Lonchura striata: one gene and its partner. The protein of the gene in region 1 interacts with the protein of each later gene in a pairwise test. Links are inferred from orthologs where the notes say so. Each region holds a gene or a part of one and is shown on either strand. Other genes may lie near its edges.

What was found.
Region 2: the proteins of ESRRG (region 1) and NR0B1 interact in binary tests that used the Homo sapiens proteins (3 or more experiments, as listed by UniProt). The link is inferred for Lonchura striata from reciprocal best matches to the Homo sapiens genes ESRRG and NR0B1.

The regions. Positions count from the first base shown.
Region 1 is NC_134605.1:9,921,805-9,929,523, forward strand, and holds the start of ESRRG (estrogen-related receptor gamma), read left to right. Parts: upstream 1-4,711; 5' UTR 4,712-5,111; coding exon 5,112-5,209; intron 5,210-7,719. UniProt on the Homo sapiens protein: Orphan receptor that acts as a transcription activator in the absence of bound ligand. Binds specifically to an estrogen response element and activates reporter genes controlled by estrogen response elements.
Region 2 is NC_134604.1:106,123,997-106,131,791, reverse strand, and holds the start of NR0B1 (nuclear receptor subfamily 0 group B member 1), read left to right. Parts: upstream 1-4,780; coding exon 4,781-5,519; intron 5,520-7,134; coding exon 7,135-7,379; 3' UTR 7,380-7,795. UniProt on the Homo sapiens protein: Nuclear receptor that lacks a DNA-binding domain and acts as a corepressor that inhibits the transcriptional activity of other nuclear receptors through heterodimeric interactions.

The DNA.
Region 1 (7,719 bases):
GTGCTGGGAGTGGTCTATGCACTCACCCTGTGCATTCCCGGCTGCTCCTGTCTTTTCACCATGGGCAAGGGCGCTGCCTGGGGATGCTGCCCTTGTCCTTGTGCCTGAGCCATGAGACTGTGGAAATACCATCCATATTATGCTTACCTGTTACTGGCATATAGCCCACTGGCCTCAATACCCCAGAGAAAACGTGCACTTCAGCCACTGCGTGGAGTTCAGGTAGATCTGCAAAGTCCAATCTTACGTGCACCGGCATTAATGGCAGAGCTTCCATTCAGCTTAATTGATATTCCTATAAACATCTTCAGGTTTCTGTTTCTAGTGGAGGCTACAGCTGGGTGGACTTCTTAAAGGGATGTTTTGCATATTGAGGTTGAAAGGGAAGTTGAGCCCGATACATTAACTTATCATCTGTGTCATTCTCTTGACATCATTTGGATTACTACAAGCATAAATGACAAGCAGATTAGGTGCAAGATCTTCACACACACATCCTTTTTTAGCATGTTGATCAGTGGCGATGTTACTTCTCTGAAAACCTTATTCTAAGTCAAGTCCAGGCAAGCACAAATCTGTGCATGCATATACAAGTGGAGTAAGGCCTATCCTTTACAATACGTTTTTTTCCTTTAATATCTAGGCAAGATCTCTTATTATAACTTGACCATTAGGGGAAAGAATATGGAACTTTTCTCAAACAGCTTTTCTGTTGGGGAATCTAGTGGCAGTTGCTTTGAAGCATGTGTAATTGATTATCATACATTTATTTTAAAAAGGAGACATAACAAGGAATCTAACATGATGTTTTGGAATACATCTTCTCCCCACAATGTTCTTGAGGGAAATGTAAGGTTGCAGGCATCATTTCATGCCCTGTATGTTTTTGAACATAAATCAAAGAAATTGTTGGAGAGTTATAGATGTTCATAGCAACTGTAGCTATAATAAACACATGCAGTATATATTTTCTAAGCTATTTTGTATGGGTGAAAAGCTGAAGCTGGCATTTTGTATGAACAATTCAACTTAATCACTGAAAATTTATTTCCTAGTTAGGATGGTTTACCAGTGTAGCATGAAGTTGTACACCTTCGTTTAAGTTCATCTGGTTATTGAAGGCTCAGTTAAAATTGGAAAAGAATTTAAATTGGATCTAGATACCTTGAATGAATTATTCCCAACGTCAAATTTATCATGTATCCTCCATGGTGATATTTACATCTATATTATCACCTATGCTGGTTTCAATGCATGCTGGATATTTTAGAGAGCAAATAAAAAATAAGAACTGTGTGAAAACCCAGACAATTTTAATTGTACTCATAGCACAAAATATGAGCATATTTAATACAATGGGACGGAGAATCTTGAATGATTGAGTAGTGCAGAGCGTCTAATGGGAATAGCAAATAGCTTAGGCATACACAGTTCCCAATGATTGTATTAGTTTTGGTTTAAAGTTTTAGTTTAAAGCAACTATTATGGAGGAGAAGAATATAGCCACTCATTTTTGTGATGATGCATAAGGTGTTCCATATGTTGATTAGGATCCATGTTCATTTAAAAGTTAAAAAGAAAATCCAGTAGTCACAGTTACTATATATATGGATAGATGGAAGAAAGGATACATTCGGGACCTGTGCAGGAATCACAGGTCTAGATTAACAGTTTCAGATTTAATATTTAAGCAAAGTCCTAAGTGTCTGAATAAAACAGGTAGGATATGTTTCTTGGAGTCTCTGTGTACTGTTGGATTCTGAGACTGATAATTAAAACTGATAACTGCTTATTGAAAATCTTGAGACTAGCTGAAAGGTGTGACTTGAAAAGTGCCATTATGCTTCTGCTGGACTTCGTTTCATTGCAGTTATCCTCAGTTGTTCCTCTTTAATTACAAGACCCAGAAATCTCTTTAAATGAGAAAGCTTGTCTCTTATTACTTGACTGCTGGAAACAAAGTTTTAAAATCTAAAACAAATGTTTGTGTAAAAATGGAGAATCTGCTCTCATTTGTGGTATTAGCTGTAAGCGTCTTCTTGATGATATGTTTGGATTTTAAGGCCGGCATGAATTAAACAAGCTTTCTAAATTGTTTCAAGTGACAGACGTCAGGGAGACAGGGCATGGCCCATCTTGGACACCTGTACTAGTTTAGACTTTAGAAGAGCAGGCAGTGGGATAGGTTTCCAAGGGCTACCTTTTCCACTGGGGATAGGAGGTATGGAGACCTAAAGCTTCTGACATCACGTAAGCCAAGGGTCAGCCTCCCCTTCATTTCTCTCCTAGCTCTTGCTCCCCATCCTCTCTGAACATTTTTGTGGTCCTGCCTTAATAGCCAGACTACTTTACCCTGCCTTCTGAAGGTTGGAAAATAGGCTTTGAATTGTTACTATTCTCCTTGCTGGATACAATGCTGTGAAAACAAAATTCAAGAGAAAATCAGAAAGGAGAGAAAAGGGAAGTCGGGGTGCTGCAGGTTGAGGTGTATCTGGGAAGTCTGGGTGGAGAAAGATTTTGCAGTTCCAGTTTGTCCCATGTTTTGGCCTATGTATACTTTTACAAAAGAAGGTAGCTGAAGGAACTGCGTCCCTGGATTTATATTGACCCAGCTGTGGCAAGGGGGCACAGTTACATAGGAGAGGTAAGGAGGAGTGGAGTCAGACTGGATGTCCTCCAGCCTTGACAAGAGGGTCTGTGTGGGTAGGACTACTGGATATGGTTGTATTACTGCTCAGGCAGCATTCAGAAGTCTCAGCTTTTCTGTGCTGACAGTTGGGTATTTAGAGGCTGTTGAGGAGGAAACTTCATTCACTGAAATTCCTGCATCCACTGGGATTTTTTTTTTTTACTTGTTTTAAATTAGTGTCTTGAGTTTCACCTGGCAAAAATAACTTGTTTTACTCTGTGCTGAATTTCCAACAGAATAAAAAACCCTCTTTTGCTATACTAGAGTCAAAAGGTACCAGGTGGACAAGTGCTGTGAGTGAGTTATGTGCAGTGTGGGCAGCAGGCTGGGCACTGGAGCACAGAGAGCAGGCGGATCAAGGTCACTCGTGGCCCTTTGTATGGCACATCTGGGAGCAGGGTGCACAGCTGTGAGCTTCAGTCCTTTACTTTTCTCCAGCATGCAATCCCTTTCTCACTGCTTGAGCAACAGAGGGACAGAAGCTGTGCTTTTGCAACATGCATTAAATGTGGTGGTGTCAGCTTAGGCAGGGGAAGGTGAGGTTATGTGTGAGGTGACGCAGGCAGACAGGGAGCCCTGCCTTGTAACCAGGATTTTGAGTCGCTGCCTTGCAGTGTCCCTTGAGGGAGAAGAGCAAGATTAAACCTGCTGATGCCACCACACACTTCCATTTCTCTGGTGTGACACAGTCCAGGGGTGGACAGGAGCCCCTTCCCAAAGGAGAGAGATAAATCTGGGAGAAACACATGTTAAATCAATATGGTTCCCCTCCTGTAAATGGTGCCTACTTTTAACAAAAATTATTTTGGATGTTTCACTGATCAGATTTTGCTTCTTCTTACCATTTTTTATTTTGAAGGGAGGTGAGGACATGAACTATGAGTGTCTCAGAAAATTGGGCCAGAAGCCCTTACACTTGTTTGTGCTTGTGAATGAGTGTGTGCACACGTGTGCAACGTGCATACACAGACTTGGAGGTTGTGTATGCACAGGACCTCAATTATTTTGCTGTTTGAATCACAGAGCATGTTGTCTTGATGTACTGTCAGTTTTGGTTTCTGCCCTTTGGAATAAAGTTCAAAATATTAAAGAAATAACACGCAATATACTAGTAGCTAGAATAGTCATAGTGCCTGAGGGGAGAAAGGGGTGGTGATTAATCAGTTTCACAAATGCCCAGGAAAAAAACCTCAACTCCTCCTAACCAAACCCTGCGATGGTGCACTTTTAAAAGGGATTCTTCTAAATTTTGTTTCTGAGGTTTTCTGGCTGTCCTGGAGAGAGAAGTAGGTCCTGTTTGGGAAGCAGCATGCAAGCTCATGCTGTGACTGAGTGCCAGGGGCATGTGTGGTCCCAGTTGTTCTTTGGAGAACCACCCTGGGCTAAATGGTGAAACAACTACATCTGAATTAATTATTGATAATTCTTGAACAACAAATATGAGGATCTGTTTGGAGTATTGCTTCCCAGTTAAGAGTTGAAATCTAGTTCTAGTACACGTATTCTTAAATGTTGCTTTTCTGGTCTTACCATTTGCTTGGACAGCAGTAAGAGCTGCAGAAGCTGGTGCAGGTTCTGCCCATCCCTGGTTTGGTTCTGGAGGGCCAAGGCAGGAGCTAAGAGGGCACTAGCAGATACTGAAGCCCCACTGAAGCTTTGGTCAGAATTTTGCAGAATTTGGGATGTTGTGCTCCATGGTTTCAATCCAACAAGGACCAGGCTAGATCTGACTCTAGATAAAATACTAAATGAAAAGAACAAGCCACCTTCCACTTCCAAAATCTTTTGATTTGTATTCTGTATCAGAAAAAAAAGCACCGAGCAGTGCATGACTGATGCAGGGCAGGCTCAGGATTAATTTAGGATAAACAGGATGCCTGTTGCACTTAATTTAGACATTCTAAGGCAGAAAATGCTTTTGAGTGCAGCTAACAGCTTCTCATCTGCAAATGTCACAATCAAGACAAAGCAAAAGATACTGTGGCGAATTCTGCAGTTCACAGTCCTGACACAGTCAGAACCTCCTATTACAGTGAGGGAGACTTCTGCTTGTATCACGGCTGCCTGGGATGCAGGATTTCAGAGCGGCATTAATAAAAATAATGCAGTAAAAATACAATTTCAAAAGTCCTGCAGGGCATGCAGCAAACGCCGGAGGTTTGAACTGGGTGAAGTTGTCAAAGGTTGCTTTGCTCCTCAGAGCCTGGCAGTAGCTCCAGTGAAATGTGATGCCATTGGTTTTCAGCAAAGGTTTCTTTCTGCAGGGCTGCAAACAGAGATCAGCTGCTACTGTGTATACACAACTAGGGAGCAAATCAAGCAGCACATTTAAGCAGCCTTTTTAACCCTGAGACTTTCCAAGATTTCTTCTTCACGCAGGAAGTTTCCTTTATATTGTCAGCAGTAGCACTTTGCTCATGTAATGAGATCAGAGCTAGGATCACTGCTGCACAGTAGAAAGACTTCCTTAAGACATTTGTCCTTGAAACTGCACCAAACTCTTGGAAGAACCCAGAACCTGTAAGTATGTATGATATAGGCAGCAATAGCACGGTGCAAAGCTGCAATCAACCATTATATGATATCCGATTAGCAGAGCAGGAGGGATTTCTTTTTTCGGATGTTATGTTACATTCATTTTCAGTTTGTTCTAAGGAAACAAATCAATTCGGGCTTCTGATACAGTGACTTTGCAGTAGATGAGCTGGTAGTAATATGTTTGATTTAACTATTTGTTGCTGACATGTAGCTTGTGGGACAAATATTGTAGCCATCAAACTGTAAAGAACTTTTATGATGTTTTTAGGCATTTTTAAGGGATTTGGGGGTCCATCTTGCAAATAAGTTTCTGCTTTGCTCTTTGATTTTGGCAACCCCACCCTACGCCAAACTATAAATAACAAGGCAAACGGAATTAGTCCGTATTGTTCTTAGGTGGCAATAAAATATATTTGTTTGCAGGCTTAATTTAGTCGTTAACAATGTTGCTCTGTTTAGGGTGTTTTTTGTCTTAATTGGATTCTACTCAAGGCTGTCTATTTTGTGTTTTACTATCTTGTCTGTGTCTATTTAAGTTACTTTGACGGGACTGCAGTCTGGTTAAACCTGTATTTAAGCACTATTTATATTCCAAGCACATTTCTGGTGAAATAAGTGTTTGAGATTTTTATTTTTTTTAAACCCTTGAACAGTATAGTTGTATTAGCAGTGAGCGCCAGAGGAGGCACAACATGGATGAATGTCAGACATAGACCTCATAACCCAAGTCTTCTCTGTACTAAGTCTGACCCAGACGTGTCCACTTTGGCAACTCCAACTAATAAATGCCTTGAGCTCCCTTTCAATAAATTTTTCATACACAGCAATACTTCTGCTTATCAGATTAATTTCTCCCAGGTTAGCCTGATTGATAGCTGGACTGTGATTTCTTAAGAGCTTTCTCCATGAAACCCCACTGAAGAGCTGCATTCCATTTAACCAGTGAATGTAAAAACTGGTAACCATGGATTCAGCCACCACTAACTGTCGAGAGCAATGACTTGTTGTAAACAATACAAATGAGCCAGGATAGCAGAAGCAACCAGACATGAAATTATTTTAATAGAAATTACGGTAAAGGTCATGTGATACTTTATTGGCTTGAATTCAGTGTTAAAGGGAAAGTATTTCAGTTTTTCAGGTTTGATTTAAATGCACATCTCCACTGGCTTCACGTCCGTGTAAGACCTCCAGAAGGGCAAATTAAACAGTTCTTTGGAAAAGCCTCTGCTTAATTGTACGTTGTGACTTAGGCCCTGATCCTGAAAGTGTAGGAATAGCTACAGTACATGAATAATCAGTGGGATTATTCCATACTAAAAAATAAGTATGTTTGTAGGATTCAGACCTTTAAAAATAAGTTAGTAAGAAAAAAATATATTCTAAGGAAATAATAACCTGTCACTAAAGGTAAATAATGGAAATGCAGATTTTACTGATGGTGTGTGGTTTGACTGGAGATTTTTGTTTGCTTGTTTCAATAACATGAAAAGAAGTTATATTTATCCCTTTGTTTTTAAATGTTCTGACTTTAATTTCTCATCCAATGTTCCTCAAATCCTTCTCCTAATTTATAGCCTCTTGTATGGAAAACTGGTAAACCATGGTGTCAGCTATTATAATATAGCATGACGATAGGCACATGCAGATCGCATGAGCAGTCGTGTGTCTTGTCTCAGGAATTTCCATCCCTACGAAATCTTTGCTGACTCCCAGCTGTCACATGGCTGTCACTCACAAATTCTGACCATAACCAAATCCTCCTTGCCTGGGCATGCGCTCACCAAACCTCTCTATGTACCCATAGACACAGCCACCAATGTCGCTGCTTAAGCACTTTCTCTGCATAAATATGTCTCTCCCCCAAACCTGCTGCATTCCTCTAATGTATTTCCCTTAATTTTTTTTTCCTGGGTGCTTCTTCCTTAATGTGCCTTCCTTTGTAAGGAGGAACCTGGAATAGGAATAGTAGTCAGTAAGAAATGAAAACAAAATTACCTTTATGTGTTATTTAATATAGCATTTCAAATTGGTGAGAGTTTAAATTCACAATTTTCATGGCCCCCTATACTTCTTCAAGAAAATTAACCCTTACTGGTCTGTAGAGAAAATCCTGTCACCTTGCAGTATACTGGTTTACTGTTTTGTGTATTTATGTTTTGTGGCATTTATATTATTTGAAAAATTTAGAGTCGTAGGCTGGAACTTTGGTTATTTTTATTTTTCTAGGTTAATTCTATACTTCATACATGTCACATACATCATCTCTTTTGTTTTACCAGTAATTTTGATTCATATATTTTTCAACCAGAAGTATTTCAAACAATTCTCATCAGTCTCTTACAGCTGACCAGTCTTAGCCAAGCACGGGTTGCCACTAAAATGCATAGATAGATGCAGGAGAAATTCTGCTCTTCCTATTTTTCTGAGCTGCATTGCCAGACCAAGGGGGCAATTGCTTCTGTGGGTCAGGAAGGTGAGATTTAGTTTAT
Region 2 (7,795 bases), on another chromosome or scaffold:
GCTGTCACAAAAATGCTTCCAGGTTAGAAAGATTGGTTCAGCGAAGGATCAGATGTGTGCCAGAGCTGGGGCAAAGAAAGTAGCAGCAACACTTGTGTGGGAGTCACCTCTCAGCTCCAGTGAGCTGCCAGATTGGCTCAGGAGGGATTAGGGGACTGCAGCCTGAAGCATTGCACACTGACAGATTTTGGGAGCCCCATGAACCCACTTTGGGCCAAAATATAAGTTATGACATATATCTAAACACTGAAACCCCAATTGCATATCTAAATGTACAGTTTTGGATTGCTGGGGTCCACAGCTTTTTACAGACCCCAAAGATCAATTAATCTTTTTTTTTTATGGGAAACAACTGAGTGTCTTTCACTGTAAAAAGTTTACAAGTTTGCTTCTTTCCCTTATTTTGCCTACCCCAAAACCTAGTTAACACTAACAGAATAACCTAGCATTAGCTAAGGTAAGTTAGCATGTGGGTACAAGGAAAAAAGGCCAGGCCTAGAGTATATGAGGCCTCCTTAAATTTGCTATCTGACAGTGGAAATATGACAGTGGAGTGCATGGTCCAATAAGAGTAAACTGAAGTTCAGAATTGTTATTTCTGAATTCAAATTGTCATGGCCACATTTTACAAAGAACTGATCTGAAAATAACAACAACAACAACATAGTCCCTTTTTCATGTTCTGGTTTCTTTAAGGTATGTTAAAAGGCTGATTTTGTACCATTACAGTTTTTACCAGATCAGACATCATCTACTTTCAAGCAGCCGGCAGGAAGGTCTAAACCTGAGCTAAACTCCTTTTTACATACTCTGGCTAATTCTATAAAAATGTCACCATATTCTCACCCTGCTCCAGATCAAGCACATATCGTGAGGTGAGCTGGTGGTGGGATACAGAAACACTGTCAAATCACAGCCTTAGGGAAACTGAAAAAGCTCTGGAAATTCTGGTCATCATCTCTCACATGGGTCCACCTCAACCATCTTTGGCTCAGGCTCCCAGTATCCTCCTCCTAAGGAACCCATTGTCCCTCCAGGAAGGGGACAGTAGTGTGTGTGGTACAGCACATAGGTAGAACTACTTTTCCCTTAATCCCCACATTTCAAAAAAACACCCCAGAAAAAAACAGGGGACATGTGAATGGTGATTAGTCTAACTAATGGATAGTCACAATGAGAAAAGAATGACAAGCAGCAGCATAATTGAGTTCCAAAACCTTGTTTTAATAAAGCATTTATTTTACACAAGACATATTGTTTATCATATCCTTATAACAATATTCCACATTAAACTTTGTTTTTCTGTAGCAAAAAGTTAACTTCTCTTATGCTAATCACCAAATTGAATCTACTTTACATCTGATCTTAAAATAAAATTTTATTTTTCACCACTTACACTAAAAGGAATAGTGTTCATTCATAGGACATCAGGATCAAATTCTACACTGGAAAAAAGTTTTTCTCAAGCTTATGGTGCACTGAAGCACTGATGGCATAAAAACAAATGCTTGTTTGGTCTTGTTCTGAAACTGAAGGCTTGCCCTCTGGCCAAGAACCAAATGTGCTACCAGATGAGTGATACAGAGACACTGAGCAGCAACATCAGAGAGCCAGGCTGCCAAGACTGCACTGTATCACCTCCATATCCAAGGCTTTGTCTGAGTTAAAAAAACCCTGTAGCCACACACACATATACACAAAACCAACCCAAAACAAAATCAATCCAAAAAAGCCACAAACAATACAAACAAGTAATCCTTGGTCTGGAAGCTTGTAAACTTATTCATGATTGTACCACAAGGAGCTTGGTAATACCCATGTAACATCAGATCTTCCAGCAGAAACCAGGCACTTCCCCTTTATTCTAAAAGGATTTTCATGCATTTTCCATCAAACAGTTTAGTTTCTGTTAGGGATTTTGGTTTTGGCTGTGAATAGAATGATTTGTTGTTAATTTAGCTTGAATGCTATGGAAAGGCAGAACCCAGATTTTTAAATAAAGACTGTACAAAATGCTAAATATCAACATGAAAAACACAAATAAATATTTATAGGATAAATAAATTAAAACATTCTTAATGTTTGAGCTCAGAAATAGATCATCTACCCTGAATAAAATAGACTTCCATGTATATCAGAATACATTAAGAATTAGGATGAGGGAAATGAGTGTTTAAATGCACTTGTCAGAGAAGGAAGTACACTTGTAACCACAGCAATGTAATTTCTGGCACTGAATAGTAAACCAAGTTTCGGTTCCAGTGTGGGGTACACATTTTGTTATAATTATCAAAGACAAAGTCTTTTTGTATAAGTTTGTTTAGAAGACAAAGAGTCAGCAAAATCATTATATAACAGATGAATTGCATCTACATTTGAGACTTGTTTGAAAAAGAAATACCTTGAATAATTAAACACCTGCAACCAATATTTCTGCATAGGGAAAACAAATCTCTTGTAGACTTGGTATAAAAGTTATATTTACAAGTATTTCCTTTGTCTATAGCCCTGTGTAAGCAGCATCCTCCCATAATAAGCAGAACATTCCCACAGTTGCAGTCCAAGGTCAAAGCTGCAAAGGCAGTGATTCCAGTCTCAGCTGCACTGTGCTTTCCCATAGATATTTTTCAAGTTACAAACTCATAAAAAACCCAGCTAGATTCCACAGTCAGACTACTAATCTGTACCTCATAGGAGAAATGCTACTGAACACAACTGAAAACTTAGAGATGCTCTTTTCCTAAAAATTGGCAAGACTTACCTCTGAAGTTTGTGAACAACCCCTCCCAAAGAAAAAAATACCCTAAAAGGAAAAAGACTAAAAAGGCTGAAAGAAACCATCTAAAATCCTAATGCTGTGGAAACATGGATGACTATAACAAGAAACAACCTAGAATGGCAAAGAAATATTCTAGACAAATAAATGACTGTTTTGTCATTACCAGGGATGATTACCAAATGAAAACTTTGGTAATATTTAGTGTTAGTACATTTCTTTTGTAAATCTAGCATATTTTCTTTCTTAAAGGATGTTTGGTGAAACCACTGACCTGTCAGCAAACTTTAGACATCACTTAATTGGTGCACTGTAGCAGTTCTCTTCTATTGCAAAGCCAATAAAGGGCTTTATAATGTTTGAGTCTGTGGAAAAGAAAACACATTTCATAGGTAAAACCAAAAGCATGATAATCTAGGTTTTGGACAGCCTGCATTTGGAAAACAAGGTTTACTTGAGACAGATAGCCCATCAGTGTTTTATACAACTTTATAAAAATGTGCCTTATAAAAAGCACAAGTCATTTGTAAAAGCCATTTGTAAAGAACATCCCCTCTGAGTCCAATTGTGAAGAAAGACTTAGAGGAAAAAGACTATATGACTCTATATCGGTGTAAGCTGATAGGGTAGGACTGACTTCACAGGGAAAGGAAATTGCCAAGAACTAGCTCAAAATTGTTGTGTTTCTACAAAATCCAAAACACTCAATAGTATTTGCTTAAAAAAAAACCCAAACAAGCAAACAAAAAAACCTCCAAAATGAAAACAAACAAAAAACCCCAAAACCCAAAACACAACAGCAAAGAAAAACGCCTTTATGGAAAGAAAATGCAGCTTTCCAAGGGTGATTTAGTCTTCTCTTGGTAGAGATACTGGTAGCAGAAGGTACAGAATTTTGCTTAAAACTGGCTACTTTCTCTAACTCTCTGTCAAGGTTCTTCCAGATCACATGAACCAGAAAACATGTCTGGTTTAGGTGATAAGCAGCAGATAAAAGTAACTTTATTTTCTGTAATGTTTATTTACTCCACTCTGCTGCATCCACTTTTATTTAGTCCAGTTGAGAAGGTGGTTATTTTTCATTCCAGAGTCCACATTTGGACAATCATGATTCCCCTGTCCCTCCTGTGTAAACACCAAGGCCTGGAGGGATGGGAGGCTTCCTTTGGAGTTCATATGACACTTGGAGGACATGGGTCACAAAAAAAGTAAGTATCTAAGAGGAGAAGTTCATGGAGAAGCAGAGCCTGAAGGGATAATGAAAACGGCATCAGAAAGATGGGCCATGTGTTGAAAGGCAGAGCAAGGGAATTATTAATGGGAATGGTTCCATGAGGGATCCCAGTGGGCTATGCAGCTGCACCAGCCTCAGGGCACCCTGACAGAGCCTGGTTTGCAACCCTCACAGAGCACCCATTTGGGCAGGGACATGTCCGATTCTCTGTCCCCGCATGGCAGCACTGTGGAGTTCATTTGGCACAACAGGCAGGCATCACTCCTTAGGGCAGGCATACACGAAAGTCCTCGATGTCATTAGTGGCGCCACCTTTTTCTCTTCCAGCGGGAATTTAATTATTTAGACCAATTCAGCGCTCCTTTCTTCCCCAGCACACCCTTTCTCTCTCCTCCCGAAGACCTCTCGGGTGCTTGTGAAGGCAGCGGGGCCGGCGGTCATTTCTCGGTGGGGTCCCGCGGGGGCAGGAGCTGCTCCCTACGGCGGCAAAACGAGAGAGCGGCGGGAGCTGCCGTGTCCTGCCTTGCCCTGCCCTGTTCGGAGCATCCCGGCGTAACACCAGCCGGGATGGACTCGGAAAGAGGGGCCGGGAAGGGACATCCCGCGGGAGCTGCAATTTGCCGCTCGCCGCGCCGCAGCCTGCGGGCAGAGGCGCCCGGCTCGCCGGCTCCCCCCGGGTATCTCCGCCTCAGGGAAGGAGGAGGAGGAGGGTTTCGTTGTTTTTTTTCATCACTCCTCCTCCCCCCCGCCTCTTTTCCAGCCAGTGGAAAATGAGTGTCTGCCCCTCTGAACGGCCGGTAGAGCGCCTGCGGCTGCACACACACACAGACACGCACACGCCCCCGCCGGCTATAAATAAGTTAGGGAGCCGGGCAGAGGGCGAGCGGCGCCCAGGAGGCAGGGACCGCCCCGCCGAGCCTCCCCGGCGGCTCAGCCCGGCCCCGGGCGCCGGAGCCGCGGGTGCCATGGCGTGCCGCTGCTGCGCGGAGGGCCGGCGGCACGGCAGCATCCTCTACAGCATCCTCCGCAGCGAGGAGCGGGCGCTGCCGCCCGCCGGGCCGGCGCCCCGGGGCTGCCCGTGCGGGTCGCGGCGGCGGGTGGCCCTGCGGAGCCCGCAGGTGGCTTGCAAGGCGGCCTCGGCCGTGCTGGTGAAGACGCTGCGCTTCGTGCAGAACGTGCCCTGCTTCCAGGAGCTGCCGCTGGAGGAGCAGCTGCTGCTGGTCCGCAGCTGCTGGGCGCCCTTGCTGCTGCTGGGGCTGGCGCAGGAGCGGGTGCACCTGGAGACGGTGGAGAGCGCGGAGCCCAGCATGCTGCAGCGCATCCTCACCGCCCGGCAGCAGGGCGAGCCGCGGCCGCCGGCACCGGCACCGGGCCGGCCGCAGCACGGCCCGCCCCTGCCCTCGCCCGCCGACATCCAGGCTATCAAGGGCTTCCTGGCCAAGTGCTGGAGCCTGGACATCAGCACCAAAGAGTACGCCTACCTCAAGGGGACGGTGCTCTTCAACCCGGGTGAGTGGCCGGGCGGGGCAGCGGCGTCTCTGCCACAGGGCAGCGAGGAGGGCGGGGAGAGCCCGCCTGTGTCCCCAGGGAAACGGGGCAGACCCGGGGCTTTCCTCGGGGTGAAAAAGGTGTTGGAGGAGAGGGACGGGGAGCAAGGTTTCACCTTCTCCCCCTTCCTCAAGATCCCGGCCGCAGGCAGCGAGGGTCCGGCTGCAGCTCGGTCTGGGGTCCTGGGGGCTGGCGCTTTCCACAGATGCTTTCCGCGAATTCCCGGCGCCTGGCAGTCGGGTGGAGAAGGCTGGGAGACAGCAGCGGCTCCTTGCTTGTTTCCCTCAGCGGGAGCGGCGGCAGCTCCACTCCCCGGCCCGAGGGCAGCGGCTCTGCCCGGGCCGTGCCCGGGGGTCTGCGCGCCCCGGAGAGCAAGGGGAGGCTCGAGGCTTCCTGCAACAAAGTGCTGTTGTGGCTTTTGGTGTAGCATTTATGATCGGGGTTTCTTTGGTGTTTTTGTTTTGTTTTGTTTTGTTTTGTTTTGTTTTGTTTTTTTTTTTTCCATCTTTCTTTGTGGAGACTCCCATAGATGCAACTCTACCGAGTGACTTATTATCACGTCGGTGACTGACCTGAAAAAGTAGCTGGCAGGCTGGATCTGGTACTTCCCAAGTGTGCAGTACCGTGTGAAAGTGGGACAGGGCTCTGCTGGCGCTCCCACTGCCAAAGTGTCAGTTACTGATGGTTTAGGTTCCTGTAGTGGTACTTTGCATTTATCATCCTGCTTGTGTAGCTTTGCTCTCTATACAGATAAGAGAGAAAAAGTTACAATACTTAAGGTGGAGCTCATGTAACACAAGTCAAATTTGGAAGCTGGTCTAATGCAAAAAATAGAGGCATTGTTCTGGAAGGAAAATTTTCTTCTCTGAAAGGTTCATCAAGCACTGGAACAAGCTGTCCAGGGAAGTGGTTGAATCACTATCCCTGAAAGTGTTCAAAAATCTCTAGATATGTTCCTCAGGAACAAGATTTAGTGGTGGACCTGGCAGTGTTAGGTTAACTGTTGAACTCACTGATCTTGGAGGATTTTCCATCCAAAATGGTTCTATGATCACATATAACCTTAATTCTGCACCTCCATCTTTCAGTATCCTTACTGCGGTTCATTTGCAAACTTCCTGTTGCATGTTGGAGTCATTACTTCTTGCCACTCATAAACTGGAGTAGAAACAGTAGACAAAAGAAGCCTTAAATGTAAAAAGTGCATTATTGTAGAAGTGAAAAACTGAAAAAAGCTATTCTTGTTGTCTTCCCCACTGTAAAAGTGTTTTGGAGAACATTCTTCAAAGGTTTTATCAACTAATTTGTTTAACACCTAAGTGAATGCTGTCAAACAACAAATTTTAGGTTTGTGAAGAAGAGTGTTAAATATCCAAAACACCAATATGATAAGAATTTGACCTGCACAATAAATTTGGCATATTGACTTTGCATTCAAGAAGTCCTGTAGCAATTTAATTTCCTTCTTTCCTTGAGTGATAATTACAGTCTGTGAGCTGTTAGGAATTGTTCTGTAAGAATAATATTGTTTTGTAAACAAGAATATATAAACAAAATAATTTCTTTTCATTTTCAGATCTACCTGGACTGCAGTGTACTCAGTACATTGAAGGGTTGCAGAGGGAAGCACAGCAAGCTCTAAATGAACATGTCAGACTCATTCACAGAGGTGATGAAGCCAGATTTGCCAAGCTGAATGTTGTTCTCTCCTTGTTAAGATCTATTAATGCTAATGTGGTTGCTGAATTATTCTTCAGGCCCATCATTGGAGCAGTGAACATGGATGACATGCTTTTGGAAATGCTTTGTGCAAAATTATAATTAAAATTATAAAGGTGTGTAAAATAATGAAAAGAAGTTCAGTGCAAAGGAAGCTCCAGAGCAGGATAGTGTAAAGTGTTGTAAATAAACTAACTTATTGTTTTTACATAGATAGTATTTTTGTATTCCATAATAAAATATTCTTCAAGTTCTGAAAGCAATTTTTATTAAACACAATGGTTTTGGAATAAGGTTATGGTCATCAAAAGAAGCTTTAAGGTTGTAGAGAATGTTGATGTCCAAAGCTGACTGGCTATTCTTTTACCGTGCCTCTAGAATAAAGAACATATTTACTACATTGTACTTTCAAGGTGAGTAATCCCTGGTTTTTCGAAATATGCACAATCTTACTGGTATTCTTACTACTTCTATTGACTTTAACAAAGTCAAATTTGTGAAGGTTATTAAATATTCAC